Drosophila melanogaster: one gene and its partners. The protein of the gene in region 1 interacts with the protein of each later gene in a pairwise test. Each region holds a gene or a part of one and is shown on either strand. Other genes may lie near its edges. The genes, in order: CG13405, CG4617, Marc and sol.

The links.
Region 2: the proteins of CG13405 (region 1) and CG4617 interact in a two-hybrid assay, tested with the Drosophila melanogaster proteins (one large-scale study listed by BioGRID).
Region 3: the proteins of CG13405 (region 1) and Marc interact in a two-hybrid assay, tested with the Drosophila melanogaster proteins (one large-scale study listed by BioGRID).
Region 4: the proteins of CG13405 (region 1) and sol interact in a two-hybrid assay, tested with the Drosophila melanogaster proteins (one large-scale study listed by BioGRID).

Annotation. Positions count from the first base shown.
Region 1 is NT_037436.4:71,244-78,859, reverse strand, and holds CG13405 (uncharacterized protein), read left to right. Parts: upstream 1-3,527; 5' UTR 3,528-3,649; coding exon 3,650-4,222; 3' UTR 4,223-4,406; intron 4,407-4,468; 3' UTR 4,469-4,915; downstream 4,916-7,616.
Region 2 is NC_004354.4:7,101,329-7,109,485, reverse strand, and holds CG4617 (uncharacterized protein), read left to right. Parts: upstream 1-4,994; 5' UTR 4,995-5,091; coding exon 5,092-5,125; intron 5,126-5,181; coding exon 5,182-5,694; intron 5,695-5,756; coding exon 5,757-6,466; 3' UTR 6,467-6,651; exon of another isoform or gene 6,652-6,776; 3' UTR 6,777-6,931; downstream 6,932-8,157. Other genes in the region: fz4 (frizzled 4), read left to right, coding at 1-874, 936-1,174, 1,237-2,105; CG8300 (uncharacterized protein), read right to left, coding at 3,372-3,692, 4,094-4,330.
Region 3 is NT_033778.4:9,833,906-9,841,663, reverse strand, and holds Marc (mitochondrial amidoxime reducing component), read right to left. Parts: upstream 1,889-7,758; 5' UTR 1,837-1,888; coding exon 1,830-1,836; intron 1,772-1,829; coding exon 1,149-1,771; intron 1,081-1,148; coding exon 794-1,080; intron 721-793; coding exon 615-720; 3' UTR 501-614; downstream 1-500. Other genes in the region: Vamp7 (Vesicle-associated membrane protein 7), read left to right, coding at 1-124, 189-256, 315-470; Lsm11, read left to right, coding at 2,251-3,021; CG1663 (uncharacterized protein), read right to left, coding at 3,254-4,174, 4,233-4,475.
Region 4 is NC_004354.4:21,347,101-21,355,944, reverse strand, and holds the start of sol (small optic lobes), read right to left. Parts: upstream 5,666-8,844; 5' UTR 5,337-5,665; coding exon 5,095-5,336; intron 4,311-5,094; exon of another isoform or gene 4,184-4,310; coding exon of another isoform or gene 4,179-4,183; intron 4,086-4,178; coding exon 3,460-4,085; intron 3,193-3,459; coding exon 2,280-3,192; intron 1,852-2,279; coding exon 1,532-1,851; intron 1,466-1,531; coding exon 1-1,465. Other genes in the region: peng (penguin), read left to right, coding at 6,194-6,639, 7,241-7,943, 8,012-8,414, 8,513-8,844. UniProt on the Drosophila melanogaster protein: Has a role in eye development. Calcium-regulated non-lysosomal thiol-protease.

The DNA of each region.
Region 1 (7,616 bases):
TTATATACCTGCGTTCCTCGAGGGCGAATGCAGTTGCCACAGGGAAAGGGGCTTGTGTGGCTGAAGGGGTGTGGACTGTGAGATTGCTGTGACCCAAATTCATTTAAAAATCGATCGATTTTACCCTTGCTGCTTTCTATGTCACTCTCTCTCAATTGCTGTGTTTCGCTCTAGCAAAAAAGGAGAAGTAAATAGTAAAAATATACTATATAATTATATAATTCGACGGTTGCTCTGCTACTCTCCTCCTGTTTTCCTTACTTTCCTATCGGTCCCTGTTACGACTAAGTATACTTTTTTTTTAATCTTTTACTAAAAGCATATGCTTTCCCTGTCCTTTTTTTCTTTCAGGCTTGCCAAGAAATAATTTGTATTATTTAACATGTTCGCTTTATTTTTAAAGTAAAAGGGTATACAAGATTCGTTAAAATGTATGTAAGATTTAAAAGGAAGCGTTTCCAACTATATAAAGTAGATATGCACATATATTGTTGATCAGGATCACTAGTCGAGTCGATCGGGGTATGTCTGCCTGTATGAACGCTGATCTCGTGAACTACAATATGAAAGCTAGTCTGTTGAGACTAGATATGCAGATTTTAGTGTCGTCTAAACCGTGCAAGATTGCTTCAAAACGTTGCACAACTGACTACAAACACACAAAAACTGTCACGCCCACACTTTTGAAAAATGTTTTGTTTTTTTTCTTCGTTGACATATTTCTAACGATGCGGCAAAAAAAAAAGACACAAACCCCAAAAGGCTATCACGTCCACAATTGGAAAATTTATAGAATTTATAAATTTATGATTTTATTTATTATCTTTGCAATTTGTATCGGTATGCCATTAAAATTTTTAAATATTTTACTATGTTGCGATGTTTCGGCAAATATAAAATATTACGTTTCGTCGAAAAAGTTGTTGGAATGGATGCAACGTTTTCTTACACAGATAATCTTAATTTATATTAAAATGTATTTCAATATTCCCATGATTTTGACTATTGGGAAAAATGTAGGAAAGTAATTTCTTCTACACTTCTGTCGGCCACAAAAGTAACAACATTCTGGTGAATTTCTGTAGTTATTGCAGCGTCGCTGACGTTAGAAAAACGCATTACTATGTCGCAAGAGTGACATTTCAACGCAGTCAACAGGACACTTTTCATGGACACACATCTAATCTCTTACACTCGCCAAAATCCTACGCCGGAACATTTTTTAATTCTGTTCCTCAGAAAATAAACTTTGTTTTTAATGTTCAACATGTGGTAACTGATGAGTTTTATATATATGTCAAGCGGAATTATATATTTGGATTTAAACACGAGATAGTTTTTTTTTTTTTTTGTGAGCAGCCTTGTCTTATTGAGTCCAGTTGACTGGTACTGCAGCATTCCTTGACATTAAAGTTACGAAGTGGTTTATTGCCACCCGTGATGCTAACAGCAATTTTTACCCCCAGTTCATCATGTGGAATTACAACGCATTTATTTACTTTGTTTACATCACTTATTATTGTTGTTAATATTGGTATTGCAATGTGTTTGTTTTTTTGTTTGCCCTTTTTTTGTGCAAAAATTGATTTTTCTTCTGGGTCTGCCCCGCTCACATTTCCACCTCCTCCCTTCGCTGCCATCCCTTGAGCGTGTCAGAGTTCATCATTACGCCCGTCTAATGTCAAAGATTGTCAACCTTCGCTGAGCGGTTGTGTTTAAATATTACAAATACGACATGTTGTCATGCCACATGAAGACCGGCTTACTAGAAAGGGCGGTCTCAACAAACCCTATTCTCACACCATCACACGACTTTTTTATTACGTCCCCTTTTAAATTATGCTCTGTGAATGGGAATGATTAAAATAATAACAAAAAAGGAAATCAAGCGACGAAATAATATACTGAGTTGACAATACGTTTAAGAGGCCATTTTAAAATAAAAGTTTACCAGGACAGAGAGAGTAGAGTGCCTCGACTACAAGATACCTCTCACTCAGGTGATAATCGGGGTGGCAACTCACTGAAACAAACTGCGACAGCATACGCTGCGGAAGGAAAATGCACAATAAATGGAAATAGAAAAGTTTAATTGAAACTCATTCAAAAAAAAAAAAAAAACAATCAAAGCATGCTAAGGATCTCTATATCTGAAACAGATGCTCTCTACAAAATAGTTGCAGTGAAAAATGGCAAGAGAGTGGGCAAAGAAAAGCGCAGAAGGAGAAAGGCTTCATGATGAAGGATGCTTGTTGTTTGCTGCAGTTAAATTAAATGAAAAAGTTTAAAACTTTTTTAATGAAACCATTTTATTCAGTAGAGGCATAAACAAAAAAACAGTCCCCATTCCGTTGTAACAATAGCACAAAAAAGATGCAAGACAAAGGAAAACAAAAGTCTGAGCGGAAGAAAAACTTGATGCAACTTGCATGGTCTGAAAGGAATCAAAAAAAAAAAAAAAAAAAAAAGAATAAAATGTCCCAATAAAAATCAAAATATGTATGAGACTTAAAGGGGGTGGCCTATGCTTGCTTTCAACTTTGTAAATTAAATTGCCCGTTATTTGATTTAAAATGGGCGGCGCAGTCTTTTTGAGCTTAAGTGACGTATGCGTAATCTGAATGGGGAGCTAATCGAAAAGCCACCTTGATACGGACGATAAAACCCATAGGCTCTGGCTATGGGTGTTCGCTTCTAATGCAACTGTCGCTTTCAGGGACTCGCAAGCAATTGGTAATTACGCCAAAAATTAAACAGGGACGTAATCAAGAAAACATCAAGGATAAAAGCTTAAGCTTGGACCAAACAAGGTGCTTATTATTTAATTAAGTAAATTCAAATAAATTAAATTAAATAAATAAATAAATTTAAATTTGTATATCCCTATATCGACATATTCAATTTCTTTGCTAAACATTGTTCTCTACATTTTTGTCTTTCATTGCACACAACTTTGCAGGTACATTTTGCGTACATATTGTGCATTCCTATTATGCCATTCAATGCACCAGTTTGATATTAAAACAGCAACTTGTGTCGCTGGGCCAGTTATCAAATACATACCCTTTCTTTCCTGGCTTACAGGTTGTAATCTGTTAGAATTCACGTCTTAACTACCGGTAGTACGATGAAACGACCCTGCTGCGAGATAAACATTATGCCAAATTAAAATGCATTCTGTAGTTTCTATAATTAATGCGAACGCATGCCGTCGAGTGGTGCGCTTTGAAACGTAATCCACCGGATCCAGCCACAAGAAATCACTGAGTCAATAAAAGCGTGAAATAAGAGAGATGAGATTGTAGAAGGAATGAAGTTAACGGCGCAACAGCTATCATGATGGCAGAAGAACAATAAATCGTATATGAAAAGATCTAATAACGAGGGAAACGGAAACGGAAGTTATTGAAGTGCTAAAAAAAATGGCGAACTGAAATAATAAAAGTAGTTGTTGTGTGCAGTAAACTGAGATTTTACTGGCTCTAAGGTGTGGAGTTTTATGTTTACGTTTGTCGATCACATGATAAATCTACTACAACAATTTGTATTTGATTTATATATCAAAATTTGGTTTATTAAAGTATTTCATAATTATGTAAACTAATACCCCTGCATCGCTTAATACAATTTATCCCTAACATCCGAAGCAATGTCTGATGTGGAGCAAGAAGCCTCTGGAGACGTTGATAATGAGCAAAATGAAGGACAAGAAGCTGCTGAAGATTTTGAGGGAGAGGGCGAAGGAGACGAACAGGACGTTGAAGAGGAAGATAAGTTCGAGGTGGAGGAGAAGGATCCCTTTGAGCTCCTCAATGAGAGCGATGAAGACGATGAAGAGCAACAGGCAATGTACAAGGAGTATCAGGAGGTGGTCAACGCTATTGATGCGCAGAACAGGATTATAAAAGAGCTCAAGGCAAAGTCCAATCGACTGATGTTCAAGAAGTGCAAGACTTATAGAGACAAGCAGGAATACAAACAACTTAGGGTCTGTCAGGAGCATGAGGAGATCCATTTAAAGGTTCTCGTGAATAGAGCCATGCACCTCCAAAACTTCGGTTCACCTAGGCGCTACAGAGATATAGAAATGGAAGTCACAGAGGACGAGAAGAGCTACTTTTATACTGAACTACAATCGACCTTATCAGGCTTTTGTCCCACGGATTCGGCTGACGAATATGAGTCGGATTCTGAATCGGATAATGGACTATGTTGTACCTAGTTTCCTAGCGGAGTTTCCGAAAATTGACGGGGAAAAGTTATGAAAATACTTGAATAATTGTGGAATATCTTCATATTTTACATATATACATATCTACACATATCAACGACACTGCACTCAATAAAATGGGAAAGGATGGAGGGAATGTGAATAAAAAATGCAAGAAAATTTCAATAAAATGCAAGTAAATGCAAAATTTAATTTAATCCCTCGATTTCTAAAATATCTGCCTAGCACTTCTTTTAGCTGGGTTTAATAGTCAAGAGTCCAGACGTGGAGTAGCCAAATAGCGGGAAAGTGTAGAGCAATAGCAATAAGCGCAAAAACAAGACGATTGTGCCCCCAGACAGAATAAGGGGATCAAAGCAAAACAGCCATAAACAAATAACCGAAGAGGCACAGAAAGACGCCAGTAGACGAGAATGAATCGAAACGAACTGAATTGAACCAAAACTTCTCTCGATGATTTCTTCGTTCCCTCCTCCTTCTTTTATTATGCCTCAATTCTCACTCTCCGCCAAGTGCCACGCCCATTGTGGCGCTTGATGGGGAACACTTCGCAAAAACGAGATAGTTTGACGTTTTCTACACAACTGGTCACTGTTTAAATTTTATTTACATTTAGAAAGATTTGGAGAAAAGTGAAATGTAAATTATTTCGATTAAAAGATAATTTATGTGGACTTGCAACTTAGAAATTTATGGTTTAACCCTAAGGTGGAAAATTCAAAAGCGCGATTTTAGAAGGGGAATGTTGTCGGCGCCAAATTCGCCAACCCAATGTGCAGAAGCAGCGGCTTCGACCGCGTTGCGACGTCACCTTGCGTCCATTCACCCCGTTCATCATTGTTTATGAGTGTGTGCCCAGACACAAAAACAAGCACACATTAACGTATACAGCAAAATTCCTTTAACTGTGCTTCGATTCCATTCCATTTTCCATCTGGTTCTGTTTCTGTTTTTTGGACCTCTGCCTTGGGTCTTCTGTTCATGTCTCTTCGCCCCCCCCCCCCCCCCCCACCCAATTCTCCAACCCTACTGCGTTCTCCCGCTTGTTGTTATTGCACTGTCTGCGGCTTGGGTATTTTTTACGCGCCTGTGCTCCATTCCACGTTCCCAGTCTCCCCGTCTCGTTCCAACAACCTTGGTATATATCTTCGCCGCCCAAAAAAAGTGTGCGAAAAATACTCTAGGAAGATTCAGAATCGCGGAGTCGGATCTAGGAGAGTCGTAATTATTCATGTTTTTTTTTTTAGATACATGTATGTATGTATGTATGTATAACGTGTATGTATGTATGTATAACGTTGGCGAGCAAGTGAAACGGAAACACAATAAGAAGAAGAAAAAAGAATCAAGGTGTCATGCCCCTCCAGAACAAGCTTCAGTGGAAGGGCGAGCAGATGGAAAAAGAATTGCGTCTCGTGTTCATTTTTTTTTTTGTGTGGATATAGACTTTCGCTGGTGGGTCACAAACACAACCACTTATGAACCCTTTAAACCGATAAGTGTCACTCACATTTTCACTAGAAACGTAAATTCCGTATCGTTCTATTTTAGAGCTGGTATGTTTCGGTTCCAACAAATAATTTTCTAAATTAATTTCGCATAAAAAGTGCCAACCAATGCCAGCAACACACACAGGCGCCATAGTATGTAGGCGGTGGAGAGGTTCACAAATGTCACATTCTTAATCGCAACAGCAACAGCACTGTCTGAGGGTCAAAGTTCAGAGACACGTACATTTTTGTTGAGTGGATGGGTCGGACGGAGCCGAAGAGCAATAATGGCTGTCGTCTGGCAGAAAGGCTTTGCCCCCAACCAAAGCACTTAGTACAGAAGTGGAATACAGTCGTCGTCTTCTATGTCTAGGTTTGCGCACTGAATAAGTAAAACAATCACTATAATTTTTCCCGGTTATCGACAGCTTCACACGTGTGATATAAGGGATATTAACTCATTCTGAATTATTCGAAGTTGAATTCAGTGTTGTTTTTTTATATTTAAAAAATTTGACTTGGAAAGATATTATGTGCGATCATAGGACGTTCCAGTAATATGTCCTCTTTCAGCAGCAGTTAATGCTTTCGTTCTGCTTTTCTTGATAGAGTTACTGATCCCGTTGGCAAAAAGGACATTGAACTGCACCTGCATTGGGCTTCCCTGCCACACATATAAATAATCCCGACAACGGGAAAACAAATAAACAAACAAAAAGCAGTCGGAGATGCTTTCAACTTCACCGCCTGCGTCGATGATGATGATTACGGTGGAGCAGGTGCAAAACTACACATGAAAGGCAGGTGCACAAATTTTAGTAAAGTATACGGCCAACGAGAAGGAGAGCCACTAACTGGTCTTACAACAGACAGCGGACTTTGTTCTCATTTTCATACTTTTGGGGTAGACGTTTACGTTTAAATACATCGGTTTTTAAGAGTTAAGGGAGACTTTCGTTTGATTGCAGTGGGAGTGGAGTCCTTTATTGGGCTCGTCCTTGTCACTAAATATTTAGTGACGTAACGTATCCAGTTGCAGGCAGCTGCTAGCTACGGCGAACAGATAATTACGGAATTATTTCAATTTGTCATGATTTTAAATGAACCCCACGCTTTTTGTAACATAACCATACTATACTAACCCCATACCAGTTAAAGTAAACCGCTAATACTCAGATTGTTCACTATAGTTTGACAATGCTTTTTGTCTATGTTTTGGATGCCCAATCTGTCTGTCTACAGCATCCAGCCAATGTTTTCTAAGCTCGAGGCAGACTTTTGCTGGAGGAGCGGTATAGGTGGTAAAAATTTAACGATTTGTTTTGTCTGCTGTTCTGATTTCTATGCTTCTGCCGCGTTGCCCTCGTCAAATTTGCAATGTCAATGACGTCGGCTTCTCCCTCTTCTTTTGCTACCCGTTGCCGCAGTCGTAAAAAATCAACCCTCGGCCAAATAAATCGCACACGAAAATAAAAGCGAAAATCTTGGCTGGTTAGGGGCGTGGTCCACGAAGTGGACCTGAGCTATAAACCCCGATGGTCTGATTGTAAGTCTGAGCTAACGTAGATCATTGTCCTTGGTCGGGTTCATTCACATTCAAATGGAGCGAGAGCATTGGAATGAGAGGGATTCGGTGCTGGGGCAGAATGGAATAAATGGAATGGCACAGCAAAACAAAGACTACGATAGCATAAAGCTTATGCGATAAATGCTTTTGATATCTAAATTGTATTTGGTGTTTTACAACTTTCATTTTATGTGTTTTACATCGTCGTTAATTTGTTTTTTATTTTGCAGTTCGATATGATGTATGTTAAAAATCATCTAAACAATATAAACCTGATGTGTCAAATTCTACATTTTGTGCAGTGCACACAATTTGCTGATGATTTTCG
Region 2 (8,157 bases), on another chromosome or scaffold:
GCGAAACCATTCGCATTGAGATGTGCCGCAAGATCGGCTACAATGAGACCTCCATGCCAAATCTGGTGGGTAACGAAATGCAAACGGACGTGGAGTACACACTGCAAACCTTTGCACCACTGATCGAATACGACTGCAGTTCCCAGTTGAAGCTGTTCCTGTGCGCCGCCTACGTGCCCATGTGCACGCCCAAAGCTCCAGTCCATGCCATCGGTCCGTGCCGGAGTCTCTGTGAGTCCGTGCGAATACGTTGTCATCCAGTTTTGCAGGGATTCGGATTTCCATGGCCACCGGCTCTCGACTGCGATAAATTTCCGCGAGAGAACAACCACGAGACGATGTGTATGGAAGGTCCCGGTGAATTGCATCAGCCGCAGCAGGAGCAGGATTTGTATGGGCTACCGGGCCAAGGAATACCCGGTGGATTGGGCGGTAAACTGCCCATGGATTGCTCGGGACTGGCCAAATCGCATCTGTACGTAAGGCTACCCAGATCTGGACGCTGTGCACCACTCTGCGAGGCGGACATACTGTTCACACCGGCGGAGAAGCATCTGGCAGAGATCTGGGTCTCCACATGGGCCTATGCCGCTTTGGGTTTGGCCCTGGTAGCCACCGTGTGTCTTTTGGCCAGCGATGGCAGTCGTTTGGCCAGCGCCAAGTGGTCCAGATTGTTGTCGCCGCTGATTTGGTGCCACAACATGGTCACCTTGGGCTGGGCAGTGCGCTTTATGGTGGGAAGAACGGGAACTGCGTGCGGCACGGATCCCCAGGCGCCCAATGAATCCCTACTCACCGTGGACGGACTGTCCAATGCCTCCTGCGCTAGTGTCTTCCTTATGCGCTACTATTTTGGAATGGCCGCCTGCGCTTGGTATTAGATTATAATATATACTTAATATTATAGAAACTATATTCCCATATCCTATTTGTAGGTGGGCTGTGCTCTGTTTGGGCTGGCACCGCGACATTCGTCGGCACAGTCCGGACTCCAAGGGCCATGTGGTCATTCCCTCGAACTTTGGAGGCAGTCCGGCGAAGAGGAACAGTGCCAAGACGGCTCAGCAGGATCTAACGCAAAACAACTTTGTGTGCTTCGTGGCCTGGGGATTGCCGGCCTTTCAAACGTCAGCAGTGATCGTTGCCCGTTTCGTGGATGCTGACGAGTTGCTTGGTGAGATATGCTATAGATCCGCCGGAGAATTCGGAGAGTAACCCAACCATACGCTCTTCTAGGCGCCTGTTTCGTAGGCAATCAGTCGGATAAGGCGCTACAGATATTGGTGGCTACGCCCGTTTTTTGCTACTGGATCTTTGGCTCGATGAATCTGATCTCCGGCTATTTGGTACACTGTCGCACCAAGGAGATCCTGAGGAATAGCAATGCACTCAGCGTGCAACAGCAACTGCAACAGCTAAGCGCACACAGTAGTTCCGGCATTGGCATATTCCTTTTCATCTATGGACTTGCATGTGCCATGCTTCTGTTGGCTGTCATTTACGAGTTTGCCAACATCGATGTCTGGCTGGGATCGGGTGATACCAATACGCCACTTTGGCCATTTTTGTTGCGCGCCTTCATGGAACTGATGCTGGGCATTTGCTGTTTTGCCTGGGTACTTGGACCAAGCATTTCCACTCTCTACAAGAGGCAAGTCAGCAATGGCAAAATGGTGAAGCATACGTCTGCCGGAGCAGCAACTGGACACCTGGACGGGCATAGTAGCTCGCGTGGATCGCATGCGGCTTGCAATAGCACGGTGGTCTCCTACCATTCGGTGCGAACTTCTATGGCCAGTGTTCCGTTGCCGCCAAGTCCGTACAAACTGAAGACTTCGCCTGGTACCGGCTCTATATCGCTGAATCAGATGTCCAACTATTCGCTGGGCAGGAGCGTGCATCACCAGCAGCGCCATTCGCCGCATCATCATCATCACCAGCAGCAGCAGCATCATCAGTTCCATCCCCACCACAATCACCAGCATCACTCCACATCCTCGCATCGGCTGTATTATCCGCCAGGTAGCTATGCCTCGCAAAAGTACAGCCAGCACGGCAGCTACTATCCCCACTTGCAGCAGTATGGCAATGAGACGCTACTCTAGACGGAATTGGATTAGGTACCATTTCAGGGCAGGAAATGCTTCCTGCTTCCAGTCAATGTTCCTGCAGCAGCTGCTGTGCCAAAGTCAATCCTCTACTATAACTTAATGCGGTTTCGGGTATCGAAAGAGGCAAAGCAACTTAAATGGGTGGGGAAACGGTCCAATTTGTTTGTCATAAAACGATCGTGAGATAACGATATCGTTATTTCGATTTTAGTTGCTTTGCCTGTCCATAGAACACAATGGGGTAAACCGATCTATGTACTGTGTATATAACCCCGGAAATGTGCTCTTAGTGCTTTAGTTTGGGCCTTTATCGCGAGGTCATAGGTCATCTACAATGTATTTGTAATTGCCCTAGATGGGCTTCATATCCTATTTTCCTGTGTGTACTTAATGTTGCTCCTAATTAGTTGCCCCTTGCGTTGCCTTTTTACCATTTTGGTGTAACCAAATTCAATAATCGCTCTTGCCTTTTAGACATTAGGACTTAATGTGTGTCGCCTTTGCGTACATAACACATATATACATATATATATTTAGCATTTTTATATAAATTCTTTTTTTTTGAGTTAGAGAGAGAGAGAAACGCGCAGCAACCAAATACTGTGATACGCATGTTCATGTCTTCAAAAACAAAAAAATAAAAATGGGAACCAGAAACTAGGTTTCCAACTTTGCTGTCTTCTCCCGATGCCGAAACAAGTGTACTTAACAATCGAAAAAAAAAAACGCAATTGCAATCGTAGCCGTAATGCCTAATTGTATTCAGTGTGCCATTAGCTTTAGGGACTTAACTGAAACGAGTCAATATCATGAAATTACCTTAAAAGAGTCCTTTTCCAGCAACGAACTTTGGCGGAATTACTGAGGGTTTTCCTTCAACTTCTGCTGATTTTCGCACAGAAAAAGTCCTACTTCTAAATGTCCAACTAACTAGCTAAGAAACTAACTAACCTTTATACAATTGCGGGCTAATACGAATCGTATGGAGCCCGCGACTAACAGTATATGTATTGTATTGTATTGTATTTTATATGTGTATTTTTTTTATTATCATATATGTATATGTATAACTTATTTGCTAGCGAATAAAGTGTCGAAAAGTTAATATCTGTTTTGATTCATTTCGTTTCGCATGGTTTTTACCAAGTAAAAGAGTCTCCAAGTGTCGCCAGTACTCCATGAGCATTTTGTTTCGCCTTCCTGCCAAGAAAATCGCCACCTTGCACAACCCACCTGGCAAGTGGGTGGCCCAGTGGGCGCCTACTGCCGTGTGGGTGGCAAGGTCGCCTCGCTGCGTGTTGGTTCGCATAGGACGATGGTTTCGTTGCGATTGTTGTTGCCGCTGCTGTTGTTGTTGCTGCTACTGGTCGTGGTCGACATGGCCCGCGGGTGCCAATTGTCAAGGTCCTCGTCGCCGTGCTCCTTGGCCCTGTGGTAGTTCTCCAATTCGCTGGCATACTTGCTGCTGGTGATACCAAGCAGGTGGGCCAGCCCACCGCCCACATAGTCGATGCCGGCCAGGAATCGGTTGCCCATCCTGCTGGCCTTGTAACGCAGGCGTGGTCCCAGCGGCATTTCGCTCTAAAAGGTGGCAAAAAAAAAAAAAGCGGGCTAAATGAGTCACGCTAAATGGTCAATGAGGAGGGGGGCGGGGGGTGGCAGCTGCTTATCTTTTTCGTGGCCCTGGGCCCTGTTTGTTTACTTAAACAGCTCAAAACACACATTTTCATTGAAAGATATAAAATTTCTCACATTATTATCATAATTCGCTTCGAACATTAGTCACGTCTCGAGCTCAAAGTGAAAAGTTATTATCTGGATCAGGAGAACTGGGCTAATCTTGAGCAAATTTAACTAACTGTGTTAATCCGGACAATCCCGCTTTAAAAAAGGTAAACAAGCAATGCAGCTACATGACCATGTACTAAATGGATGGCCGGAAGTGCATTACTCCACCCATAATCCTTGCTGAATGTATGTACCTCGTTTAAATGGACGTCGTAGCATTTGTCGCCCATTTCCGCATCCGCCTCGTCCTCGCTGCCCGAGGACAACTCCTCCATGACGCCGTCGCTAAAGTACAGCATGCGCTTGTTGGACTGCAGTTCAAGGGCGCTCACATTGTCCGTCTCGGATGCACTTGCTCCACTCGCAGATGCCAGTTCCAATCCTCCAGCTGCACTGCGTACTTCGCCACTCTTGTTCCTCTCCGCTGACATGGCTATGGATAGCTCTAAACCCGATTAAGTACCGCCTCGATTGATTGACGCTGCGCGAATGTTTTTGCTTGCGCTTGAGCTTCGTTTGAATCGCAGCCGCCGTTTTGGTCATGAAAAAAGCGGACGCGGGTCAACGCCAAATGCGTATACGGCCGGCTGGGGGCCAAAATGTCCTTGGGTTGGGGGCCACCGGCGAAACGACTCACAAACGGCGAGAATCGCGTGCCATGGGGCGCTTGGCGCAGTTAGGTGCAAAGCAAATCGATAAACTAAAAGCCGCTTTCAAACAGCAAAAAAAAAAGTCGAAACAAAACAAAGGTGCGGCAGTGTGACCAGCTGATGGTTTTTGCAAGCTAACTGGATATTAATTTAGATGTATTGTAATAAAAATGAAATTGCAGTCGTATATATCGTAAATGTTTTTGTTTATAAAAATAATTAATAATATAATAAAAAAATTAAGTTGTGCGTGCACATCCTGTGCTTATAATTTAAATAATATAACAATAAAAAATATTATATTATTAAATAATTAAGTTTAATGGTTTCCTACTCTGTACAATTGACTGGTGCAATGGTTATTAACTTAGCAATATATTCAAAAACTAAAATGGTTATCTAGTGTTCCATATTTAACCATCGCTTGCAATGCATCGCGTTTTAAAGCTCTGGTCACACCAAACAGCTGTTTTGTTTGCTTCGTTTAATTCGTTCTTTTTGCAACAAATTGCATCCCAATCTTCCAAAGCAGGTATCCAAACATGGAGTCCCCAACCTCGCACCTGGTGGCCAAGGGTGAGTGGAAAAAGCGGCAGCCGTCAATGGAATCGGGGTCATAAATTCCCAATTAGATTTCCAGGTGACGGGTGTTTCGCGCAGCGGACGCGTACGCAAAAAATCGTCGAAATTGTTGGATTTTGAATCTCCGGATGAGATCGAGAAGCGCACAAGGCGTCACAGTGGCGCCAGACAGCCAGCCAGATATTCGGGCCGCGGCAGGCCATCGAATGCGCTGCGTGATCTGGATCTTGACCAGGAGATGCTCGTGGATGATGGCATTATCTCGGATAGCGAGGAATTCCATCCGGATACAACGGCAACGGTCGTGGCCATTCTGAATTCCGACGATGAACTGGACAATCTGGTGCAGGATATCGTCGATGGTGTCCAGGCGGAGGCCACCAGCCAAGAGTCATCCGTCCGTCAGAGTCTTTACATGCGCGAGAAGTCCAACAAGCGGCAGGTGCTCAAGGACGGCAAGGTGGTGAGTGCCAAGGTGCAGCGCAAGGACAAGGGCAAGCAGCGCTACACCGCCTACAGTCTGTGGGCCAAGGAGGCGCGACAGAAGGATCTCCAGGATCTAGGTAGGTTGCTACACATCTGTGCGCTCTCTATCGCTTATTGACCATTCCCCGCACGCTTGCAGACTTCACCAGCGCGACCAGACGCCTCAGCGAGCTGTGGGCGAACGTTTCCAATCGGGACAAGAACACCTGGCGGCGCAAGGCCAAAATCGAGGCGTCCAGGGCCAAAACTCGCGACAAAACCGCTGCAAACGGTGCAACCCAGCCGGCGAGCAACGGCAGCACGGCTCTGGCAGATGCCACGCAGCACGAGACGATCTTTCAGAACCGTGCGACAACAAGTCGCACTCGAAAACTGGCCGCCGATCGGCAGCAATCCTCAATAGAAGCGGCTGCCGCAGCGGCGGCAGCAGCAGCGACTGGCACCAACACACAGCGGCGCAGCATCAGCACACGAAGTGCCAGGTCGCAGGTCTCGAAGAGCGCGACGAAACAAGCGCAAGTGCACACGGATGCGGACGTCAGCGGCCGGACTGGGGGTCAGCTGAAGCAGGAGGAGGTGCAAAAGACCAGCATCGAAGTGATCGATGCGGCCGCACATCTGAAGCTGCTCGGCGAGAGCCTGACTGTGATTGGCGAGCGACTGAAGAAGCACAATGGATACGTGGCGCTATCGGGCAGCTTGTCCGTGCTCCTCGACAGCCTGCTCTGCGCCATGGGACCGCTGCTCTGCATGACCACGCAAATACCCGGCATGGAGAACAATGTGCAGTTGAGCAAAAATCTGGCCGACACGCTCGACAACATCGCCTACGTAATGCCCGGACTATGAAGTAAATTCCGGATTGCAACTGCAAATGCATACATATATATATATATATAATCATACCAGGCCGCTGCGCTTCCAGCGGCGACTAGAGTCGCCATCGGGATCTGTATGTTTGTAAGGAGTTGGCCAACCTGGAAATAGTTAATCGCATTAGATATGCCTAGTTGATAAACTGAAGCATCTAGATCGTAAGTAAAAGGTCTCCCTCTAATTGAGTTTTTTTTTTATTTGCTTCTTGAATTGAAATTCGTACGCTAAAAAGTTTAGTAGTTCACTTATTTATTTCCACTTTTTGTTTTTTGCAACATTTAAGCACAAATCATCGAAACATTGGTAGAATTAGGCAACATTAAATATCCTATAATCCTTAAGTGAAATAAATGTGAATCACAAGATTCTTATTTCAGCTTCAAATTAAGCAGGCACTTTTTATAATAAACGTAATAAATAAAGATAAATATAAAAGCTAAAAATATGAGATGATTTCTTCCTCTGCCCAAAAATCTTTATAAAAGTGAAATATTTTTAAAAATGATCTCAAATAAGCCATAATTGAAGGTTCGAATAGTGGAACTATAAGCTAGATATAAACTTTAAATATTTATAAATACGTTAATTATTTGCTTACTTTCTAGAGATGGCACTTCGCTGGTGCGCCATCGATGACTTGGCTTGCCGTTACAACGGCGAGCTATCGATGTTACATCGCCGCCCTGCCCACCACTAGCCAGTCCGCGGAAAGTAAATAAGAAGACGGACGCCAAATCGAATCTTCCCACATCCCCGGATGCAGTGCAGCAAGCTCTGGGTCCCTGAGAATCCTGCGTGGGCCTGGGATTCCGAATCCTCTTCCGCCCCGGATCCGCACGTCAGCGCGGCATCCGCATCCGCCACCGCTTCCGCCCACGCACAGCATCCGCAGCCACATCCGCGGCAGCAAAAAAACGGTGAGTTTTCCACCTGCATTTTTTTTTGGATTTTCCGGGGGGGGGGGGGGCAGCAGCTGTGATTGGGATGGAAAATACTTGTGTAGGTGGACGGTCAGGTTGTAGGGGCGAATTGCGTGACGGCAGCGCTACAAATTGGATTAGTGCGGCGATTGATTCTGAATGGGAGATGTAAACAATCTTCCTGTGCACTGAGAAAAATAACATGGTAAAGCAAGGCACAAAAAAAGATGGAAAGATTGGTTGAATAAGATAAAATAGGTTTAAGACTAAGCTGAAATATCATTAGCCAAAAAACATGAATGTGAAATGAATTACTTTAAAGGATTCTTAAGCACAATTTGTTTAGAAAATAAATTCGATTCAGTAACTGTTAAATTCAAAGCTTAAAAAGAAATGGAATACCTTGCGATTTGCAGTCCAGACATTTTCTCGCAGTGCACTAGCTCCCCGCCCGCTGTTTTGTAATTGGCAATATAAGGAATGCCCGAGGTATCTATTTTTATACCGCTTAGCATAGTCGTTATGGTGATAAATTCCGAAGGGGGGGTGGGGGGTTTGTTCGTTATGCTTTTCAACCCCGTGACCTCCCACCGCGCCCAATGGGGCATACTTTTGGGGGCGCCGGGAACTGGGAGGTGTTTTAATTCCACCATCGTTGGTTTATTGAAAAGTTGTCATAACTCAGAACAGACAAGCCAGCAAAGTTTCGAGTCCTCTCAATTGCGGGCAAATACAGGCAGATCT
Region 3 (7,758 bases), on another chromosome or scaffold:
ACCGAGTTCTCCAAGATCCTGGCCCAGCAGATGGTCTATTTCAGTCAGTCCCGGGAGGTGGACACCATTTCGCGAGTACATGGTCAGATTGACGAGCTTAAAGACATTATGGTTAAGAATATTGGTATGAAGGAAGGAAAATCCGTATGTTCTTTTTGTTTACTATTCCCTTTTCATCCCATTTGCAGACAGCTTGCGGGATCGCGGCGAGAAACTAGAGCTGCTCGTCAACAAGACCGAAAACTTGAGCAATAATGTAAGGTGATGCCAAGCAGAGACTTTTAAATGTGTTTTTCATTTGATCTCTCTTACAGTCCGTTGCATTCCGTAAGGCCTCCCGAAATTTGGCTCGTCAAATGTTTTGGAAGAACATCCGCGTCTACGTGGTGGTGGGTCTGGTGATAACCTTCATCGTTTACGTGATTGTGAGCATGGCCTGTGGTGGCCTCGCTTGGCAGTCCTGTGTTTAGGACAAGCTTTAAAGTTGTTTATATTGTTATAGGCTCATAACACATGTATATTTGCATATAAAACTCTACAGTACTCTCATCTATGTTCTATGTAATAAACTTCAATGTATACCGGATAAAGTGTTAGAAGAGATAATGGAATATTCACTTGTCCTCCACATACACGACGTCGTTGGCCTTCACCTTTCCCGGCAGCCGAAGTCCCATATGAACGCCCAGAGCCGGCGAACTGTAGTTGAACAAGCGATAGCTGTGGATTCCAGATATGAGGGTCGGGTTTTGTAAGTCGTACTTCTCAGATATTTCCATGGGTAGTGACTCACCTTCTGAGCGTTTTGAGAGGCTCTCCTTCGGAACTCCTCTCTGCGGTCTTCGCATTAATGTTGGTAAAAATACAGCGAGTGCATGGCGCCACCGTACGGAAAACAGCATCTTCGCCTATACGCACCCACTGCCAATTGTCCTCGGCATAGGGCTCATCAACATCCATTTTCAGTTCGAAGTTACCTCGGAACTGCAGTGCATCCACCGGATTCTTTAACCGAGTATTAAGATCGGCGACCGACGAAAGGTTCATCAGCATAAAGCTGGTGGCATCGTTAAAAGTGCCCTATGGAAAGAATTCAAATCAAGGGTGATCTGGGTCCTAACACTTCGAATTGCGCATCAGGAACATACCGAGTCCTCCTGTCTAATGAATGGCATGGACTTTAGGCGGGGATTGGTGCATCTCACTGGTTTCGGATAGGGATAGTGAACTAGCTTGAGGCCGCTCTCCTTCTTCAGGATGGCCTGGGAGAACCACGTGTTGATCCGATCTCCGCAGGGCATCACGTCTATGGAAACGCCCCAAACGGAAGTTTTCACATCCTTGCCAGGACCGTCCAGCTTCTCGAAGTCCAGCTCCAGGTCTGGCATGTCCTGGGCGCTGAACACAAGCTTGCTGGGCGACACCTTCTTCGACTTGATCTGGGTCATAAGCGGATACACCCGAGCCGTGATCATTTCGTTCTTTTCATTGACCACCATCAAGGTGCGATCCCTTATTCCCTCAAAGGACATGCTCAGTACATCGCAGTCGTACTCCACTCCGGGCTTCGAGATGTCCATAGGGGCACAGGACTTGACCGGAAAAAAGTGTATCCTCTCCACGGTGCCCACGCGTCGCCACTTTTGGGGAACCACATCGCGGGTCAGATGGCGGTACAGTAGGAAGCTAGCCCCGCCCACCGCCACCAGGCCCACGCCCACGGCCGCCAGGGTCTTGGGACTGAGGTCAAAGGTCGAGTTATTTCCGCCGGCTGCAGGATAATCCACGTTACTTAAGGATCTCCCAGCTAATCCCGGTTTTTCACTCACTTGCCATCTCCTTTGCGCTGTAACACTTGTTGCTTTCTCTGAGTCAAAAGCTCCACTGATTAGGTTTATTGGACAAAAAGCTCTCCTTTGATGAAGATCTCTTACCAAGGCTGGACAACACATGCATCTATGTATATCAGCGGTCATTTTGACAGTAGCAACTGATGATAAGGAATGTAACCTGGTTCTTAGTGCTATTTTTCAGTGATAGGGTAGACTTAATACATTTATTTTTAAATTACCATCCCCGCTCCCTCCAGGTTAATCGATAACTGTTATCGGGCATGCAGCCGGCGAATTCGTGCTCCTTTGTTTACATAACAATTGCAAGAAGCCTGTTGCCTTTTAAGCGGAAAAAGAAAAAAATTTAAGGTTCTTTGTTCTATCAGACTTCTATCGGCAGACTTCGGGAATCAGTGTCATGGAATCGAGGGACCGGAAAACTTCGAATGAGGACGACTCGTCGGAAATCTCCGAATTGGATGTGGGCAGTGATAGGTTTAATCCTCTGCGAGCGTTATACGAACCCAATTTTAGGGTGACCGATGCTGTTCCAAAGGTCATCTACCAGAATCTGGCTGCCTTCGAGAGTGCACTTAAAAAATTCGGCATCTGGCAGCTGAACAAGCGCCAAAAGCCGGGATCCGCAGAAGGAGGAGATCAGGGGACATCGAAAAAGGCTTCCACTTCCGAGGCTGTAGATATTCTACCTCCTGAGCGACGTTTTGAGCCGCACCAGATGCCTACCACTAGTAGCAGAAAGAAGCATCATCGAAATATTTTCACCTACATGGAGGCAGCTGTCGGTCCATTGGAACTCCTAACGAAGTGTATATCCCCTGCTAGCCACAATGAATCCAACGAAAGGAGAAGAGTTCGGGTGGTGATTCGCAAACACGGATCGGTGGGCGGCAGTGTCGAGGGTGAACTGTTGGCCTTTGACAAGCAGTGGAACCTCCTACTGAGGAATGTTACCGAAACCTGGAAGCGACGAAAGTACAATTACGGAGAGCAAAACATATGCGACACACCTGTTGATTGCACAGGCCGCCTCAAGGAGTTGGGTATCACTCTTCCCAGGACTGTAGTCAAAAATCTAAACCGAAAAAACGTGGAGATTCGGCGAGAGCTCCCACAGATTTTAATACGCGGCGAGAATGTGGTTCTAGTTAGTTTAATACCAACAAAATAGTGTATAGCTTATTAAAAGTCACCTCAGATAAAAATCGCGTAGGGTTCTACTTAAAAAACTACAGCAGTCTCTATTAAAGTAGCTAAGAATATATGTAAATTATTGATATATATAATTAAGTTACGCTACAATGTATACAAATTAAGTTATATGATATATTTCCATTTAAGGTTTGAAATCGTTTTACTTTTAAAGAAATTTAAACTACTATTTTATATTTTTCGAAACGTACTTAACTAACGAATCTGTTCAATTCCTCTGGATCATCGTCCTCATATGATTCCATTTCTTCGCTTTGGAGGTGAACCAGTTTATGAAGCTTCAGCAACTCCAGCGTCTTGAATCTCCGCCAGCAAAAGTCGCAGGAGACCTGCCGCGCACTGTTACCGTCGTGAATTTTCCGGATGTGACTCTTCAAGGTGCTATTCTCTCGAAATTGCCGGCTGCAGTGCGGACAACATAGTTTCGGTTGGTCGTGAGTTCGCCGATGAACGGCCAGGGCGGAGCTGGTCTTCGAGCTGTGCCCGCACAGCTCGCAGATATAGTTCCTTTGCCCCGCGTGCATGGCCTGGTGCTGTTGGAAGTCCCACTTGGAAGGTGCATTGTAATCGCATCTGCTGCATTGCCACTCCGGCCGCTTAAAGTGGTACCGTGCCTGGTGTTGTTCTAGCTTGGAGGCGAGTGGAAAGCTCTGGTGGCACACATGACAAACATTCGGATTGGGTCCCCCATGGACGCGGAATTTGTGCAGCCGTAGCAGGCGCTCGTTAAGAAACCGTCGGTCGCACTCCTCGCAAATGGTCACTGATATGTGGTTCGTGGGCATGAATTTCAGCAAACTGTGGTAGTACTTTGGATAGCGACAGCGGAAGTCGGAGCTGCTCAACTGCATTACATACTGTCGCTCAAACCAGACTTGCAGGAAACGGGCACTGGCATTGACCACCTTTGGGTCCAACTGGAAGTGAAATCGATGGAACAGGGCCTCTGCCACTTTTTGGGAACTATCCATGCGATCTTTTTTATTGATCCCGTGCTCAGTTATCCAGAAGAATTTGTGTCTCCGCAGTTGCTGTATGAAGTACTGAATAACTCCGGGGCTGGTGCGCTGCAGGCTGTAGAAGGCTTTGTGGGGTTGGTTCGAGATGTAGTCCTGTGGAAATCAAAGAATCGAAGTCAAGCAAGTGTCATTAATAACCAAGGCTGCTTACATGGTGGCTATTGCTTGCGAGCTCATCATGGCCCTGCTCTTTCTCTGGTGAAAAGTTTGGTTCCACCTCCTCTTCCATAAATTCTACATTTTTGAAAGATTCCTGTACCTCCGCCAACTTGGATTCCTGAGCAATAGACGCCGCCAAGAGATTGGTCATCTCCACCTGAACCTCGTCCTGGATCTCATCCTCATCTGCATTAAATCCACTTTCGTTTCCATGCCTTTGAACCAGGTGCTTCATGAATTCCTTCCATTTGTCACCGCCAAAAGTGTCCACATTACAAAGGCAGCATTTGATTAAAATTGAGGAGTCACTTCTCATGTATACGCGTGCACTTTCTACATAATGCTTCTTATTTGAGTGTTTTGGTATCATGTCCTTAGAATCTGCATGCAATTTATTCCGAAAACTACACATTTTATGAACTAAGTATCGTTTTCAGGTACGATTTGTTTTCCGATAAGTATTCTCATTTACAAGCGCAAGTGTTGGAAAATTCGACTTGGGCCATAGACTTATCGATAGGTAGTTGCACGTCTTATTCGAATTCAAATGGCAGACGACACTCGGCCAAAAAGCAATTTTTGTTTTCGCTTTGTTTTGCTCTTCTTTTGTGTGTGAACTCAAAGGACGGGCTTTGTTGCCTTACGCACAAAAAGTGCATATTGTTGGCCTGACAAAGCGGTAAAAACTTGCGCTTTCATTCATTAAAACTGGGACTGTTGCTGCTTGGAGCGTCGCTGCTGCTTTCGGAACTGCTGTTGGCGCAGTCGCGATCCCGAGCTCAGTCGAAAACACGTTACGCGCCTGTGCAGAGCGTTTTTGCTCTATCCAAACGTTTCCGATCCCATCCGATCCAATCCGATACGATACGATCCGATCCGATCCCATACGATACAAAGCCAGCGGATTCGAAAGTTTTACACCGCGTGCAGCAGAAGCAGCAACAACAGCAGCAGCAAAAAAAGCAACAGCAATAACAATTCGTATGTTTCGTTTGTGTGTTGAAGATTTAATTTTTTATGCAAAGCAAACGACGACAGACTTTTCGGCTGGTCAACAATTTCTATTTTAATTGGCAGTAGCGCCCAGCAATTTACCATAAGCGAATGGAAAGCTGACAAAAGTCACCGACTCCGGTTTATTGTGCATAATCAAGCCAATCAATGTGTTTTCTTTCGTCCACATTATTTGCCATTTTTGCCATTTGCGATTAGCCACTCGCAGATCACGCAGTGGCCAGAATTTGGGTTCTTTGCTCGGAGCGCCAGCGACCCAATTTGTTAACTATCGCCATTATGGCTTAATTGCTAGAAATGAATAAGTTTTTAACGAACTGCGTGCGCCGCTTTTGTGCGTGTCGCTGTTTCCTTTTTCGCGCAGTGTACGCAAATTGGCAAGCGCCGTTAATTAGAAATTTTCTTTGTCAAGGTTGCGAATCCCCCATCGGATTCCCACTTGGACTGCGACTCCGGCTCAAGTGCACGTTCGTTTGTGTTGGCTGTCAATTAGCGTGTTATTCAACCGCGCTCGCAAATAGATCATTAAAGTAAAGCACTCGACGGGCTAATTGTAATTGTAACGATGTGCAAACACCGCCTGCGCAGCTGGCAGTGGAGATATGGCGACTTCTATGGAGTTCTGTTCTGCAGCTCTGCATTCTGATCTCCCAGTAAATTAGCACATCGATTAATTGGCCAAAAACTGGATTCCTTTGCTAGATGGTAAAAACAGGTCGACACAGAAGGAGCTATCAAAATATACATATCAGTTCGAATTAAACTACATTAATTTTACTCGACATTCTAATTATTCCATGTTCTAAAACATTACGATCTCTTAATGATAAAGTCGGATAAATTGGATAACGTGCACTTGTAATACTGAAGTATTTTATTCGTTTATTTGCTTACTTAATATTCTAGTTACATAAACGCGATTCTCCAACTGTTAGAACCACTAAGTGGCGCATTTTAAAGACGCGAACATGATTTGAGCCTCTGAGATTTTTGTGGATAACTTCCAAATCGATGACCTATATCTGCTGGATTTTTTCTCTGTGCCGAGTTACCAGTTTTCCAGGCTTCTGATGACCGGGCAGCATGTATATGGGGCATTCATTCCGTTTTGGGGCCAGGCCACTCCCCGCGCGCACAGGTTAAACAGCTTTTCCCCCTCCACTCGCTTCGGTTCGGTGTGGTTTGGTTCGGCTCGGATTCGAATCCACTCGGCCACATCCCGCTGCCACTCCCCCGAGATTTTCACGGCCACCGGGGGGAAATGGGTCGGTCGCCTTCGTGCGGAAGCCCTCGCATTAGGGCATCCACATCCACACCCACACCCACATCCACAGAATCGTAATCGTGTAAATGGCAAATACACTTTGCTCCCTCTATCGGCGAAATAATCAAATAGCACCAGGTCATAAAGTTTCGGCGTCGGACGTAGTTATCACGCCGATATGGCTTCGTGTGTTGATATCATTCGGGGAACTCTAGTGATTATGTTTATGCGACCTCTAATATAGGAAGCCCCGAATATGTTCAAAATCAAAGATCGGGTTTCAATTGCAGTAAATACACTTGTGTGATTGTTTTATTTTAAAAATACTCTCTGTATCATGAGGGAAATACCCAATAGAAGCTTTACTGTATTGAAAATCCCCTACCTAATGACTTTTATCTTTACTGACGTACTTGAGAATAGTCTTTGGAAAACCACGGAAAGTCAACTTGAGATAAGTGCTTTCAAATTTATAAATTTACGTCATTTATTCCTATTTTTTAAATCATTAACATTTACTATCTAGTTTATGAGGACAATTGTCAAAAATTGCTCGTGACAATTACAATTGTAAAAATAGCATACTTTAAGAATCCGACAAGACTTGATAAATAGGTTTAACCAATTAAATCAATTTTATACAATATTGATGTTAGTTTTGATGACAGTGAACTTTATATTCTTTTTTGAAAGCAACTTGAAAATAGTAAGTTTCTCTTTATAACAGAGTATGAAGTAACCAATTGGATGCTATATTTTAAGATATGATAATATATAATATCAGCTTAAATACTCAAATAATAATAATAATAATTAATTCCTATACCTTTCGTTAATATTCAGTTCGAAAGCCAGTTGAAAATCGCTTGTTATTGGGGACGAATAATAACTTTTCTATAAATAAGCCGTAATAGCCGCTGTCGTAAAGTAATCTTCTACTTATTGAACAACCGAGTAAATAAGGTAAATAGGTCTGGCTAAAGCAATTGTCCCGCAAAGCTGACCCATTGGGCTGAGCAAATAAACAAAACAGTGAGTCAACTCCAAGTTGTTGCCGTTTGCCGAGCAAATAAACAGATAACCGGGCTCTTACCGCATTCACGATCAGAGCAGATCATGCGCTCGCAGCACGTGTAAACTACGTAAATATTCACGGGCGCAATTAATGCCACTTCGGTGGATTGGATTTTCTTCCATTTCGCACGTCGGAAGTGTCCACTTTTGGGGCGCCCAAATACTC
Region 4 (8,844 bases), on another chromosome or scaffold:
TGTAGTGGAATGCTCTCGCAAGGCGCTCCTGTCAGCGTGGCCAGTCCCTCGATCGCCCGGCCCGAGACCAGCGCCTCGTAGCAGCCGTGGATCTTGGCCACAGCCTTCTCGATCAGCGGCACCCATAGCTGCTTGCGCTTGGCCTGCGAATAAACCAGATGGCCACGCTTGTCGCATGGCAGCAGATCATCCACCAGCACCGTCGTCCACTTGCCGTCTTTGCAGAGGCGCACCTGGTATGCGCCCTGGCCACATATCTCCTTCGTGACCAGCACCTCCTTGACCAGATCTTCGCGCTCCGCCAGCACCGCCAGCGCACTGAGTAGCCAGCAGTTGCCCAAGACGCCCTGGCAGATGTCCGAGGGCAGCGGGGTGCGGAACACAGCCCACGGTGGATACGCTCCGCCGTCGCAGTTAATCTCGTGCGGCCGTCGCCACTGCACCACAGGATTTCCCTCGCCTGCTCCGCTCGCCGGATTGTAGTACAGACTCTTCGGCGCCGGCGGAAACGAATCGTCCACGAAAAGCTCGCTATTGTCGCGACAGTACTGTATGATGTTTTGCCACTTGGTCAACGCTTCGGTCTCCTCCAGCTGGCGAAGGTTCTCCATCAGCTTGCTCTCCTGCCGAATATCTGCCGGTGTGAGGGCAACTCGAACGGACTTTCTGCCCAACGCCTCGCCCAAAACTGCGCTCGCCAGGCCGCGCGGACTCGAGCAGATGTCACAAACGACGGAAGCGGCACAGTTATCGTACGTGCACGCGGGACACTGCCACTTCTTTGTGCTGGTACTGGCTCCGACAGCTCCAGCTCCAGATCCAGCTCCAGAAGCAGACACTACCGATGCGGAGCCGACTCCCTGGCCCTGCTGCAAATTGTAATTGGCCAGACCAGCGATGGAAATGTTCCGTGGCACAATGGAGCCGCCGGTGCTGTGACGTTTAGGTATAGCGCCCGATGAGCTGGAGTTCCTCTGCTGCTGGAGTGATGGCAGCAGCTGCATCCTGGGCGAGGGACTGCGTGAGCCGCGCAGACCAGCCGCTGTTGACGTTGGAAGCTGCAGCATGGGCATGGGCAACGCCACCGAAGTTAGCGGTAGGTTCAAGGCTGTAGGCGCCTTGACCTCATTGGCGCCCGATTGGTGGGCACTGCCTCCTCCGCCCCCGACGGCTGCAGCATCCTGCTCCTCGTACGACTGACCATCCGGTCGCTCCCGTACCGCCTCCATGGCCATCGAGAGCTGCGGCTGGCGGTGGGACTTGCAGGCACTGCAGACCGGCGAGTGCAGCGAGTTCTTGAGCGTACAGTGGCTGCAGGTCCAGAACTCGCCCTTTCGCAACGTCATGTCCTCGATGGAAGAGATGCTTTTCAGCTTGGAGCCGCCGCACACCACGCAGGCCATTGCTGTCGAGTAGTTAACCAGGGTGCACTTCTTGCAGGTCCATGGCTCGTCGCGGGGTGCTTCTGGAATGCATTAGGTATTTGATATAGCACAAGCATTACATTATTTCCTGAAAACTGATGACACACCTGCCTGTTGCTGCTGCAAGTGGTGGTGGTGGTGCTGCTGCTGCTGCTGCTGCTGCTGTTGCAGCTGCAACTGCTGTTGCTGCTGTTCGGCTTTGGCCTCGCACATCTCGCAAGTCTGGAGCCAGAGTCGGTTGTAGGCATAGGAACATTTGATGCATATCCACATCTTACTGCGGCTGCCGTTGCCAAGCTGTGTCTTATTGTCGTGCCGCGAGGCAGCAGCTGCTCCTACGGCTGCAGCTATAGCTCCAGCTGACGCGGTCCCTGCTGCTGCGGATGCGGCTCCTGATAGGCGGCTGCTGCTCCCTGGATCATGCATACTGCAAATCGAAAGCAAGACCATCAATTGTAATGCAGTCAAGTTCAAAATTGATTCAACACGGGAGATAGGCGAAATCAAAATGTAATTAAATTGAACACTTGAACCACAGATTGTCATAGCCGAGATCAGCACGATTGCGAATGAATTAATTACCTCAACCAAGTTGTGACAATCTTGTGGCAAGCCAATCATTAATTTAAATCATGCCCATAAACAATTTGCTTAAATAATACAACTGAACTTATAGCGGGCAGAATAAAAATAAAAGCTGGTGGACGGGCGAAATACAAACAGAAGGCCGCAGTGACTAAGCGCCACGCAAATTATCAGCAAAAATAAAAACGTAGCCAACTGATAAGCTTCTGCGGGGGATAGGAAGTTGGATGGGTGTGGACTAATCTCGGTCGCACGCTAGCTGCCAATTACATTTTCGACTCGGTCGCCTTGCGCGGTCCCTTCCACACTTTGGCGTAGATGGAGTGCTCCTCCACCTGCGACTCGGATTCGCTGGCCTCGCCGCTGCCATCGGTGCTAGTGCCTAGTCCGGCGGTAAGGGATTCACTGACCGCATCCGCGATCTCGCCACTGCCAGTGTTGTTGTTCGTTTGCGATTCGCTGGCAATCTGTTGCTTCTTCTTGAGCTTGTGCTGCTTGTTCACCTGCGCATAGATGGGCATGGTAGCCGTTGGAGCTGGTTCGGCCATAGCCTTAGCTGATGGCGAACTCGCAATGGCCACCGCCGTCGCGGCTGCCTGTGCCGCCTGCGCAGCAGCTGCTCTTAGTTGCTGCTGGGCCAGGGCCACGCATTCGTTCTCATACAACTTGTTGCTGCCGCTGGAGCTGCTGCTGTTGTTGTTGATGATGTTGCTGTTACCGCTGCTATTGCTATTGCTGTTGCTGTGATGGTGATGATGATGGTTGGAGCTAGAGGAGACGGAGGAGCTGCTGGCCATTGGCTCCGACCACTCGTTGACGGCTATGAAGACGCCGTTCCGCGGAATGGTGAACTGCGTGGGATTCATACTCACTGCTGCTGGCTCCCGCTGGGTTTTCCGCTGCAGCTGCTGCGGATTAGCCGGTGACTTCTGCTGCGGCTCCTGCTGTAGATTCAGATTTAGATTAACGACCTGACGCAGTGGCTTCATTTGGCCATGGCCGGCATCCTTGGCCGCCGACCGAGAGAGCGTGGTGATGGTAAAGTTGTACTTCCGCTTGGCACCGCTCTCGCGAACCACCTTGTGATTCTGGTTCTTGTTATTGTTGTTCTGTTTGCGCCTGCAAAAAGTGTCGTTGGCGATGGCAAAACGGGAGTTGCTGCAGGCGGCCACGGGGGGAATCCCTGCGAGAAACACATAGGGATTAGAATTGGATTATCGGATAACAAGTGCGTGCATTCCGGTTATGGGAAGCTAACACTTTCATCATGATCTGACTAAGATTAAGAACTTTACAAAAAGAGAATAGACTTTAAATAATTCGGTTGTCCATTTAAAGAGTTTCTTCTAGTAAAAATTTGGAAACGATAGGCTGGCCAATAAGAATACCTTATAGTTATTTCCTCAAGTAACCTTTAACCTTTCATTAGTTCGTTAGCTGATGAACGCACCTGTCAGCTGCGGCGCCGGCTTGATCTGCGGCAGATTGAAGATGTCCTTGCTCTGGTTGTTCGCATAGCAAATGTGGCAGCTGCGCCCGGAAGCGCTCTTGTCGATAGCGGTGCTCAGGCTCTGGGTGCGGCGCAGTCCAGAACCCGAGCCCGGTCCGGATCCCGATCCGGATGCAGATCTACCTTTGAGGTGGCGCTTATGCAAGTGCTGGGAATGTAACTGATGCTGATGCTGCTCCTCCAGTTCCTGGTGGAGGTAGTGGTGATGATGATGTGGATGTGAATGGTCCGCCGCCAGCAGCTCGCCGCGATTGCCCAGGCTGCCAGCCAGATCCTGGCCTCGGTCGGCGGCGATGGCGTCCTTGTAAATGGGCGCCAGATAGCTGACCGTGTCGCAGATGAGGCAGTGCCAGGTGACCGAGCTGTTGTCCGTGCCGCAGGCGTGGCACACCCACCGCCGATTCAGGGCCGGATTCGAGAAGTGGCGGTACAGCTCAATAGAGCTCTTGATGTACTTGCGCGTGTCCTCGCAATCCACGCAGTTGGCGGGCAGATTCTGGCTGTTCCGCTGTGGTCTTTTCAAGCATCCGCGCAGCAGGGACTTGTACACATGCTTGTACTCGCTCCTGCAAAATAGGGAAATGGGGTTTTTCGTTTTTCGTCGGGTTTGGATGGGATTCGGTGTTCTTGAGCTGTTTGGGCTTTCCCCACTTCCTGACCGCAAAGGTTATCTCAATGACTGGCCATTTTCCTACTCTCCGCTCGTCCGCTCGACTCGGAAGTTGTTCCTACACCTCTTTTGCTCTTCAGATCGCCGAGCGAGTTCGCGAATCGATAAACTTGTAAACAATGCTTCTTTATCCAAATCGATTTTCCCCAATTCTCGCTGCTCCTCGGCTGTTTTGTTGTTGCTTCTGCCTCTGCTGTGTATACATGCTCTCACATACACACACTCGCGCACACACACACACACACACACACACACGCTCAGGGACAATCACCAGTGCCGACGGCTTGGCTTTTAAAGCTAGACTTTTGAACTGTGTACTTGTACACACTGTACCTTTTCCTAGCCTTTCGAAACTTAAGTTCGTAATATAAAAATCTTTCAACTTATTCCTATACTCCCATTCGAGTTATTCCTATGGATAGTTAATCAGGATTTTCCTAACCGATTTCATTGTTTTCTTATTCTTTAAGTTTCATTATGCACAAAAGGGTTAGTGAGAACTATAAAATTTACTAAGATTTACTCGGTCTGCTCTTTGGATATTAAAGTTCAGCATAGGAGCTTACGTTGGTAAGCTTTTGGTATTATTATTCTTTGAAAGTTAAGGTTTTTGATTGACGAATTTTACCGATGAAAGTATGTACATATTTGTGTATTTGTATATTTTCCAAAGTGTGCATACAATGTGTGTGCGAAAAAAGTTGGATTTGAAAACGCCACCGATTTCTATACACATTACCATATGCGACATGATTTTAGCTAGCGCTTTTGTCCTCCAATTGGATGCCACCACTGGCGCCCACATACACACACACACACACGCATACAGACACAGACACACACAGGCACATCCTCGCAGAGGAGGCATACAGGCTGTTTGTTTTTGTGGCGACCGCTTCGCTTACCTGGCAACCGCCGCCCTGCCCTTCTCCTTGTCCCTCTCCTGCCCCTTCTCCGCCTGCTCCTGCTCCAGTGCATCATCAGCTGTCCAGGAGGCGGTGATGCTGCTGCTGCGATGCTGCTGCTGCTGTTGTTGGGGGAACACCTTGCGGACGGTGCCGCAATTGAAGCACTTGAGCGACTCCGTGGGATTGATAGTGTTACATTTGGTGCACGACCACTGCAGCACGGATGAGATGGTGCCCATTGCGCGGGGGAGTCGCAGGAGTTCCCAGATTCCTTTCGACTTCTGAGTTGTTTCTCTTGCTGTTGTTGTTTTTGTTGTTGTTGGCTGGCTGGCGGGGGAGTGGATGTGGAACTGGGACTGTCTATGGAAACTATGATGTGTAGGTGCGCTTTCGAGCTGGTGGCCGGGCGGAGATGGAGATCAATAGGAGGACCAGAACCCGGGACCAAAACGAGGACCAAGCAGTGGCTTCCAACAGTTGCACGCCGCGTTCTCCGTCGCCGTTTCACACCATTTTTTAACTGTTGCCGCTAGGGTTGTCGACGTTCGCGAACACCTCCAACGACAAGGTTGCCCGAGTGCGTGAACTCTGCCGGACAGGGTTGCCAGCGCGAGAAACACGGCTGCTACCCCGCAAAGCCAGTGTTGGCAAGTGCCGTTAATGAAAAATCGGTACCTTCAATTTTTAGACCAATTCTAATATGTTTTTGGGAATGAATACATACATATATTCATAAAACGACGCAAATACATGCATAAAATTATTTGACCTTCTATAACAAGTAATCAACATTGAGGAGCTTAGTTTAGGAAGAGTTTAAATTTAATATTTAGACATGGATTATTATTTTTTAGCCGCTTTCAAATGGAAAGTCAAATTGAACTGAACGCATTAACTTGAGTTAAATTTTAAACAAATAGAAGCACTTCATTGATACTTACTGTATGTGGAACGAAAATACCAGATTTTGGTATTTACACAGCTTGGGTATACTGCAACAATCTGGTCACTCTGCATCAGCAGCACGTGTAGTTCGCTTTTTTGGCAAAAACATTTGCTGTTATTTAGTTGTAGTGTCCAAGAAAACGCAGCAAAGATGGTTAGCTCGGAGCCGAAAGGACCTGCTAACGTGGCCAACACGGCCTCGCCCCTCAAGGCCCATGAATCGTCCGGCAAGCGCGCCAACGGACAGAAGTTTAAGCCCGGTGGAGCAGGAGGCGCCAGGAAGTTCGACAAATTCGGCGGAGGAGCAGGCAAGTCGTTTGTAAAGCCAGGCGCTGGTGGTGCCAAGAAGTTCGACAAGTCTGGGCCCGGTGGCTTCAAGAAGTTTGACAAATCCGGAGCCACCGGCGACAAGAGGCTTGGTGGCAACAAGTTCCGCGGAAAACCACAAACACAGCCACAGGCGCCGGCGGAGGGCGAGAAACAGGACTGGAACAAGTTCAAGAAGGAGAAGAAGGACCTCAAGCTGAAGCGCAAGAGTGCCAAGGACACCTACGAGATCAGCAAGGAGGCCAACCAGATCCACGAGAAGTTGCGATGGTGAGCATCCCCAAAAACACGATGAACAGCCCAAACAATCGGTTATTATCATCCTTAGCGCTCAAATTACCTATACAAATTATGATAGCTCAACAAAATCGGGCTCTTTCATGCACTTATGTACATTCAGAACGTACAAAGTTGTTTAAATTTCATAAGGCATCAATCTATACGATATAGTTTTAATAATTATAAGTCATTTTGGTTCCTTAAAGGACAAGATATCGATAAACATGGCCATGTGGATCCCAAAACGAAGCACCTGTTCGTGGAAAAACCGAACATTGCCACTTGGTTCGAATTCAAAAACACCAAACATTTTATTCATGTTCTTGAAACAATAATAGCTAGTTAAGCATTTTGATCAGTATCAAAACTAAGTTAATATAGCCTTGTATTTCTGTATAAATGTTGAGTTAGAACCAAGAGCGTAGATTCCAAAGACGCCTATTTAGCGCATGCTGTTTTGTTTGGTCATAAACAAACCAGCTCTATCCTCTGTCGCGTTTTTTTTTTTTTTCGTAAAATTACAACTAATGAATGCGCAAATCCTATTGCTCTGATATATATATATCAACATAATTTGGTGCTTGTCTTGCAGCCGCCGAACGGAGAACAAGGACAAGCTGGTGGAGCAGATATACAAGGTGCTCAACGTGGGCGACACTATTTCAAAGGTGGTGAAGGCCCACGACACCGCCCGCGTGATCCAGAGCATGCTAAAGTACGCGTCGCCAGCTCTGCGGGCCGAGATCTCTGAGAAGCTGCTTCCCTTCACCGTGGAGATGTGCCAGTCGAAATACGCCCAGTTCTGCGTGCAACGGATGCTCAAGTACGGTGCGCCAGCCACCAAAGCCAAGCTGGTGGACAGCCTGTACGGACATATAGTGCGTTTGGCCGGACACAGCATCGGCAGTGGGCTGCTGGATTCGATGTATCAGAGCGCCACACCCAATCAGCGCATCTATATGCGCCAGGAGTTCTACGGCGATCTGTACCGGAAGGCCAAGGATTCGAATGTGAAGACTCTGAGCGACACCTATAAGGAGGCCACGAACATGAAGGCCTCCATTTTGGGGTCGGTTAAAGCAAACCTGGATCATGTGGCCAACAAGCAGCTGGTGGACAGTGCGCTGGTGCACGCCGTGATGCTGGAGTACCTGCGCGCCTGCGACGAAGATGAGGAGAAGCTGGAGGAGACGGTCACTGCGTTTGCGGCTCTAGTGCCTCACATGCTGTCCACCAAGGAGGGCAGCGAGGCGGCTGTTATATGCTTCTACAAGTCGACGCCCAAGAATCGCAGAGTAAGTGGATCACGTATAACGTGTGTTGATGAAACAGAATCTTATATGTATTCTAACCCCTTCTTCAGGCCATTATCAAGAATATCAAGGAGCACCTGCTAAAGATCGCCAACCATGAGCACGGCCACGTGTTCCTCATCTCGCTGCTAAACGCACTGGACGACACTAAGGCGACCAAGAAGGCAATTTACGATCACCTACACGGAGATCTAAAGGCGCTAATGAGCAGCCCGTACGGCCGACGAGTGATTCAATGGCTGGTGGCTCCGGGTGATACGACATGCTTCCATCCAGAGTTCATTCGCACGGTGGAGGAGGGTCTAGCCTTTGGAAAAAAGGAGAAGGAGCTGCGTCGCAAGGAGATCCTTGAGCAGATAGAGGCGCCGATTGCACAGTCCATCGCCGAGGATGCCGCCTTTTGGCTGTCCAACAGCCACATCGGCCTGGTCACCGGCGATATTCTTAATCACAGTAAGTGCACACTTCTGAAAGCCATAGCAGAAACATACATATGGATTTACAAGAATATGTTCACGATATTAATGTACGTTTGCATCTCTGCCTTTTAGTTCAAGGCGAGTCCTATGAGAAGGCTGCTTCGGCCCTTGCCCAAGTCGTCGTCCAACCGGAGTGGCGCATTTCAGCAGACGCCGCCGGTCCGCAGCCGCAGGATAAGAAGAAGCCTCACAATGACGTGGAGGCCATTATAGCCCAGGCCACCAAACAGCGCAGAAAACTGCTTTATGTCGAGAGCAGCAGCGACGACGAAGATGAAGATGAAGATGAAGATGAGGAGAGCGACGATGAAGGAGACGAGAAGGAGCAGAAGGAGGCGGCCGCAGATGATGCCGAACCCAAGGTGAAGAAAGCCAAAAAGGAGCCCAAAAAGCCAAAGGCAAAG